2 linked regions of the Notamacropus eugenii genome follow. The protein of the gene in region 1 purifies or fractionates together with the protein of each later gene. This does not show direct contact. Links are inferred from orthologs where the notes say so. Each region holds a gene or a part of one and is shown on either strand. Other genes may lie near its edges.

Region 1 (3,908 bases):
CTTGGAGGGTAGGAAAGGGGTTAGGACTGGATGAAGAAATGCAAGATCTGCACAGAGGTGACGATTGAACACATAGATGTTAGACACTGAGTTAGAGATCAGGGAGAAGAGAGGTCAAAACAGAGTCAGGGTTAAGTGGGTGAGACTCAGAGGCAGCTCTGGGAAAGGATGTGGAGGAGTGGATAGTCAGGTAGGCACAGAAGGAGGAAAGCCAATGAAGTACACTGGACAAGAAGATAGAGAAAGATTGGATTCCTCAAAGAGAAGGTGGGGGAGAAGAACTTAACACTAGTGAAATCTCAGATCTACCAAAACACAAATAAATAAGCAGGCCACGCCAACCACAGTCAAAATTCTCTTCCGGATTCCAAGAAAGGAAACAAAAGCCTTGTTAACAAATAGTTATATAATCTCCGAGGTGTCTTGACTAAGGGGAGGGAGAGCTGGGCTCTCAGGAAAACTCAAGCCCAAATTCTGCCTCAGATACTAGCAGAATACCCCAGAAAAAGTTTCTGGTCCTGAGGCAACACTCTAAGACTTATTTACTAAAGCATTAGGTGTGGCTAGGTGATGCAGTGGATAGAGCACCAGTGCAGGAGTCAGGAGGACCTGAGTTCAAATCTCACCTCAGACACTTGACACTCACTAGCTGTGCAACCTTGGGCAAGTTACTTAACACCAGTTGCCCCATTCTGGGTCATCTCCAGTCATCCTGATGAATATCTGTTCACTGGCTTCAGATGGCTCTGGAGGAGAAGTGAGGCTGGTGACCTCACTCAAAACAAAGCCAAGTGCAAATCATGTCATCATTTCTCTGAAGGCACGGTGTTCTTCGGCAACGAAGGACGAACCCACATTCGGTATTCTTATAATTCAGCTGGTCCATGTGGAGCGTGGAGAGTCTTTTTTCATTTTTCTAAGTCTATCATTTTAATTCTTTCATCAACAAAGATTATTTTAAAGTTAATCGGCTCCTCCCCCTCCCCCCCCAGAGGGCCACTTTTCCAATCAGGAATCTTGGAGTCAAGACCTGGTTCGGACACCTGAAGTCACAGTAATCACTGCTCTCCCTGCCCTGGGCAGTGCTCTGTAAGACTCTACACTTCATATCTGGTACAGATCTGCACGTAGCAAGCTCCCAGTCCTTTAAAACAACAACACAAGTGGACAGTTCACTGAAGTTCCAGGTGCCAAGTGGTCACTAGCAACCAGAGAATGAAACCAAGTCTGACCAGATTTAAGCAGAAATCTGAGGTATTGCAGCAGCTTCTCAGGGGCCTAACAGTTAGCTCAAAGACACTGTACCTGATCAATGAGACTCAGTTTACCTCTTCATAAAATAGAGGTAGTCATAGGATTAGAGAATGGGAACCTTTATTTTTAAAAGGGAGGCGGCTCAGAAAGAACCATTCCAGTTCCACTCTAACCCATAGAATTATCTATGTGCCTTCACGTATGTGTGTGTGTCTGGGGGGTGGGGTTATAGAGTGCTGTCCAATGTAAGTTATCTTTAGGGAGTGGCCATAAGGTTGGTCTTTATAAAGTGAGGCCAAATTTAGATTGTGGAGGTTTCCAAAAAAACCAAAGCAAACCCTGAAAGCCCACTGGTTCAATTCAAGTGTACCCTGAGTTCTAGATCTGAAATGCTCAAGTGAAGCTGCTTTTTGAGGAACCCTGGCAGCAGGCTGTTCTCTAGCGGGGATCCCTGGGCACAGTGTTATCTGGTGGGTCCTCCATTTCTTGAGCTCCTGGCCTTGCTCCAAGCTTGGAGCACCCAGGCCCCAGCACATCCTAACCTGGCTGGTTTATCGGCCTCGGCAGCAGGTAGCAAGGCCTCCCCAGTTAGGCCCGGGATGGCTTAGTGTGAGCGGCGGGGTTCGAGAGGAGTGGGTGCCTGACCCGACCCGCCTCCCAGCCCCGTTGCATAAGAGTGCCTAAGAGTGCGCTAATAAAAATGTGGGGAGAGATCCAGATATATGACCGGGAGTGGAAGTGGGATTGGGAAAGCTTCCCTCCCCCGGGTGCCAGACACAGGCTAGCGAGGTTGGTGGAGGGAAGAGCTTGCAACCCCGGGAACAGAAAGACCCAGGAAGACACGGGGTGCGCGCTGGTGCCCCAATCCCTCCCGGGATCCCGGGCGGGGGCCCAGGCCTCACCCCAGCTCGGGCCGGAAGGCGCAGTCCAGTAACACAATCTCAGGGAAAGGTTACTTTAAATGTCAAAAGCCCGGGGGCGGGAGATGGGGAAGAGGGAGGAAGGGGCCGCCCAAGGTGAAGACTGGAGCCCGCCCCAAGCCCCGCCCTTCCCCGTTCCGCCGTCCCCTCCCCCCCAGCCCGAGGGCCCGCTCGTGGGATACGTGCCGGACTAGGGGGCGTGAGAGGACCCTCGGGCTGTGCGTGAGAGACAGAAGTCCCGGGCGATCGAGGCCGACGTGGCCCCCCGAACCCACGCGCCCTCCCTCCACGCGCGTCGGCTCCTCACCCCGTTGGCAGCGGCGATGCGCACGATGAGCTGAATGGCCTCCTGCATGTAGAAGCGGCCATCGCCCCCCACCACCAGCGTGGCCTCGGGCCGCTGCGCCGGCTCCACGGTGCTCAGGATGCTCTGGATGAAGTTCTCCGCGTAGTGGGCGCTCTCCTGGAACACTCGGACCCGCTTACGCAGCCCGCTCGTGCCGGGCTTCTGGTCCGCGTACGCCTTAGTCTTCACCTTCACGATCTTCACCATGGTGGGGGGTTCCGCCGCTGCCCTGGCCTGGGTGCCCTCCTGCTGCCGCCGACGCTGGCCTAGCCTGAGTGCCCTCCTGCTGCCGCTGCTGCCTTGGCCTGGCTGCCTTCCTGCTGCCGCCGCCGGCCTCACCAGCTGTTCTGGAGCACTGAAGGCTGTGTCACACTCACACACACCCGAGACTCGGCCCTCCTTAAAGAGACAGCGACCTGGGACCTCCCCCTCTCTCGAACCACCCACCCACTAGCTAGTGCCAGGAGGGACATAGAAAGGTGGCTCCCCACCCCCACCACTCATGGGTGGGGCCTTACTGCCCGGCCTGCCCTCCTCTCATCAACTCACACTTCAGAAACCAATCCCGTACACACCCTGCAGACCAAAGGGCCACGGGCTCCAGTGGTGGGACATAAGAGCATGTTCTCCTCTTGGGGGCCCTGGCTGTTTTCCTACGCGAGGTGTGTGAGGTGCTCTCCTAGTAACCAGTGGGAGTGAGGAAAGAACTTCGGAATTTGGGCTGAGAAGATGCCACAGTTTAGGAAGAAATCTCCATGGCTTCAGACCCTGTGCCACCTGGGGCCAAGAGCCTCTCAGGGCCTCACTTTTCTCATCTGTGAAATGGACTGAATGGTTGCTAAGAACCCTTCCAGTTCTAAATCTGTGATCCACCGGACAGTAGCAAAGGTCCCTCTTTCAGTCTGCCATGACTTGAGGCAGGTGATCTAGCCAGGATCTGAAACCAGGTCCTCTACTATGAACCCTTTCCACTGTCCTTGGCGGATCATATATTTAGAGCTGCCAAGTCCATCAGTCAACAATTTACAAGGTTAGTAAGGTTTGCGAAGCATTTTGCATATTTTATCTTGGCCGGTAGGGGCTTTTATCCCCATTTTACTGATGAGAAAACTGAGGCTGATAAATGAAGAAATTTGCCTGGGCTCTTACCTCTTAACCGCTGAGGCTGTATTTGCATTCGGGTCCTCCAGGTCCAGCCTCTCCATCCACTGTAACGCAGTTGCCTCGTTATTAAGCCCCTACTAGGTGCCAGGCATCGTGGTAAGCACTAGCAATACAAAGAAAGGCAAAAGACAGTCTCTACCCTCAAGATCTCATCACAGTCTAGGTCACCTAATTGAACCCCCTTATTTTACAGATGAAGACACTGACGCCTAAGAAGGGAAGTG
Region 2 (3,908 bases), on another chromosome or scaffold:
TATTGCTCATTATTGGTCTGAATATATCATGCCATTAAACTGAGATCTCATTAAAAATAAAAAAAGATATTCCTTGAAAAATAATTACACAAAATTATGTCAAAGGACCTATGATTTCCTAGCCATCCAAAGCAAAGCTTAACCCTTCTATATAATTAGTAGACTAGGTTTAAAGCTTTCTGAAACTCAGGGTATAAGTGAAAAAACAAAACAAAACACTTTTTGGTGTCAAAGCCTGAATCTTTGAAGTCAAATTTTTAATGACTGCAAGTCCAGCACTTATCCACTGCTTCTGAGAGCAAGGATCTAGGGGTAAGGGAGTGGGAAGGAAATAAGGGCCTACTGTATGCCAGATTATGTACCCAGCACTTTACAAATATCATATCATTTGATGCACAGGAAATTATATTAAAACGTATTTACTATAAATATTTAAAATCTATTTAGTTCAATGTTTTATTCATTTTTATCATCATTGTTCTCTGTCTTCATTACTTCCACTGGTACCATTCTTTTCCTTTTTTTTTTGGATAAGGTTTTGTTCTAGTCAGACTAGGGGAGGTGGGTACATCCTGCATTGGGGCCAATAACAAATTGCGGTTTCTTTACAAGCTTATGAAGTAAGTAGTGAGGTATTATCTTCACATAAGAATTCTTATTACAACATTTTAACAAGTTATGATGAGCAGACCTGCGTAAACTAGACCTTAACTTTTCAGAAGGAAGAGAATGAAAAACCAAGTTGGCTTGACTGACCAACCACTTACTCTCTTGCTTCATAAGAATAGTAAAGTATACATGTAGTGAAGTATAAAGTCCTTCAAAAGTAAAGTATTAACAAATTTTATCTTGTCATTGATTGCAGAGTAGGACATGAGGGGAGGGTAATCTCAAAAGAATAAAGTCAATTTTACTGTTTGCCCTTTCATGAAGGGGACACTGGGTCGGTGTACAGAGTGCCAGGCCTGGAGTCAGGAGGACTTGAGCTCCTATTCAGCCTTAGACACTTATACTAGCTGTGTGACCCTGTTTGCCTCAGTTTCCTCATCTGTAAAATGAACTGGAGGACATGGCAGACCGCTTCAGTATCTTTGCCAAGAAAACCTCAAGTGTCGTCATAAAGAGTCAGGCTCTACTGAAACAACTCAACAAAAACAAACGACATTAAGAAGGTGACATTAGGACACAGTCTATGACTTACAATATTCATCTGCCATCCTGGCTGCAAGAAAACCCACATAGAACAGATTCACAAGGACATGAACGACCAGCAAAGGGGGTGCCAGTCATTTAGTCACCCAATCCAGGATGGGGGGGGGAAGAGGGAGATGTTATGAGAGGTTACCTTCCTCCTCCACGGGAGGGGCAGTGATAATAACAGTAACAGTAGCATTGATACAGAGTTTCAAGGTTCTTCGCACGGCTCTTCCTGCAGCATTTTTGGCTCTCATCATAATCCTGGGAACTAGGTGCTCTTATTACACAGCCGGGCACCAAAGCCAGCAGGAAGCCCAGCCAAGAACCTCCATACAACCGCCCTGGCTTAAGAGACACGCAGGCACGCTTCTCCTTCCACAAAATTAAGTGAAACCTTATTTTTTTAAAAGATGTTCAAAATGCGCCCAAAGAACAAGAAGTCATACCGGGACTGGGTAAATCATTATCCGGATTGGGTAAACAATGACGAGGGCACTTGGCAGCACCCCCCAGCCTCGTGGCTTCACCCCGCTAAGAACAGTGAAGAACTGCCCCAGCCTGACCCTTGGGACTGTGAGTCTTTGAGAGAACCTCAGGCCGTGGCCCCAGAGCTGGGGGGGCTCCCCCTCCCCCACCCCCCCCACGGTCCATTTTACGAGTGAGGAGACTGAGGCGCTATGGTTACCCCGGCCAGGCCAGGCTGACCGGCACAGGCAAGGCCTGCGCCTTGTCGAAGGCCCCTGCGGACCTCCTCTGCAAAAAGGACCGCTGGCCCGGCCCGCCGGGGGGGGGCCCTCGGTGCTTCCTGCGACCTTTGGACCGGACCGGACCACGCCGCGCTGCGGGGGCCGGGCTGGGGAGGTCGGCAGCGGGGCCGGCGGCGGGGCCGGGGAGGGCGGGCTGGGACGGCCGGGCTGGAGGGGCCGGGCCGCGGAGGCCGGCTCCGGTCCCTGGAGCGCGTCGCCCTTGTCCCGCTCGCCCCCCTGCGCCCCAGGCCGGCTCCCCACTTCTGCCCCCCGCACCCAGGCGGACACTGGACCTGGGGATCGCCCGGGCCAGCTGAGGACACCTGGGGGCCCAAGTAGGACAAGCGCCGGGGGCGCGGGCTCGGGAGGGGACGGGGCGCGCGGCGTGGGGTGCAATGGGGCCGCCGACCGCACGCACCCCGGGCAGCCTCGCGCGCGGGGCCCAGGCTCCGCCGCTCCACGGCCGAGAACGTGGCCGGGCGCACGGGCTCCGGGGAGTCGAGGCCCGGCCGAGGTGGGGGGTCGGAGTTGGGGGCGCCCCTCTTACATTCCGGCCTGGGCCAGCACGGCCTGCCCCTCGGGGGGCATCCTCCGGGTGACGAACACCTTCATGAGTCGCGCAAGGAGCCTCATCTGTCTGCGCCTCAGGGGAGGGCTTAAGAAGCGGCCTCAGCAGGGGGTGGGCGGGGGCGGGGCCACAGCAGGGGTTGGGTGGGGGCGGGGCCTCAGCCTCCCGAGGCGTGGCCACGCTCCGGCCACGCCCCCGCTCCCTCCGCCCCTCCCGGGACCCTGAGCCGGCCCACTCCCCGCGGCAGCTGCGAGGCTCCGGGCTCGGGCTGTGGCCCAGCACCCGTGCGCAGGGACAGCGGCTGTGCCCGCGTCCTCTCCCTCCGCTCCTGAGATGGCTGAACACTTGTTTGGTTTCTGTCGCACAAGTCTCTCAGTCTTTCAGAGCTTCAGCCACACAACGCCCTTCATCAATAAGCGAGCAGTTCTTTATTAAGTTTATTAAGGGTAGAAATGAATGCGGGAACAACCCCCGAGGCAAAGACCTGGCACTGCAACATGAGAATATAAATGTCATAGGAAAGAGGAGGCTCTCAGACATGGTGGACAGAGCTGGTCATCTGGCCCTGGGACTCCTCAGAGAGAACCATGGAAAAGAAGAACTGTCATGGAAAGGCGGTGTAAAAAGGAAAACCCAACCCAAACCAGCAGAACGGTTTGAGGTAGAAGCAGTTCCTGTGGCTAACTTCCTCATGAAGCCTCCTTTCTCCAGTTAAAACTGCTTACTATGAGCTGGGGTCAGTGATCCGGTCGCAGGACTTGATCTCTCTCTCTGCTTGTGTGTGTGTGAATTATAGAATAATAAAAATCCATAAGATTCTCTTTGATTTTTCTCTGCAGCCCCCAGCTGGGACAAAATTCCGACACTTCTGACAGTCTGTTTTCTCTCTCTTTTCTCTGTAGACCTTGTCTGTCATTGTCCTCTCTGGCTTTCCATTCCCAGGGGTGAAACTCATGCAAATAAATTGCTAGGATCTATCCTATTTTATCTTAAGCTGACACCCTGTACTAATTAAACAGAAATGTAAAAGAAACTTCAAAGGAAGGACATGCTTTGGATTTGACACTGGTTCTTTACACAGAGGGGAGAGATGCAGGGGAAGAGGGGGGGACGGGCAAATCACCATCTGGTATCATTTCTCCCCAAGGGAGACCACCTAGACCCTCCTTTCCCTTTTGGTCTCAGGCTGATCCATTGGCTATGACAGGCAGAGGTGGTGATGGTAACTTTTAGCTCCTTATCAACCCAGCTGTCTCTACACTTGGTCCCCTAATTTTCTCCGTAGTTTTTTTCCCTCCTCACTTTCCTTTTTTTCTCACCCAGTCCCCCCTCTTCCTGTACATCTCTTCCTCAGATTTCTCCTCTCCAGAGCAAGGGGTGAACCAATACTGTCTCTT

Evidence for each region.
Region 2: the proteins of PGM1 (region 1) and GRHPR fractionate together in Homo sapiens (co-fractionation; 3 studies listed by BioGRID). This does not show direct contact. The link is inferred for Notamacropus eugenii from reciprocal best matches to the Homo sapiens genes PGM1 and GRHPR.

What each region holds. Positions count from the first base shown.
Region 1 is NC_092873.1:524,161,998-524,165,905, reverse strand, and holds the start of PGM1 (phosphoglucomutase-1), read right to left. Parts: upstream 2,927-3,908; 5' UTR 2,728-2,926; coding exon 2,482-2,727; intron 1-2,481. UniProt on the Homo sapiens protein: Catalyzes the reversible isomerization of alpha-D-glucose 1-phosphate to alpha-D-glucose 6-phosphate. The mechanism proceeds via the intermediate compound alpha-D-glucose 1,6-bisphosphate.
Region 2 is NC_092874.1:317,103,382-317,107,289, forward strand, and holds the start of GRHPR (glyoxylate reductase/hydroxypyruvate reductase), read right to left. Parts: upstream 2,644-3,908; 5' UTR 2,577-2,643; coding exon 2,491-2,576; exon of another isoform or gene 2,362-2,490; intron 1-2,361. UniProt on the Homo sapiens protein: Enzyme with hydroxy-pyruvate reductase, glyoxylate reductase and D-glycerate dehydrogenase enzymatic activities. Reduces hydroxypyruvate to D-glycerate, glyoxylate to glycolate, oxidizes D-glycerate to hydroxypyruvate.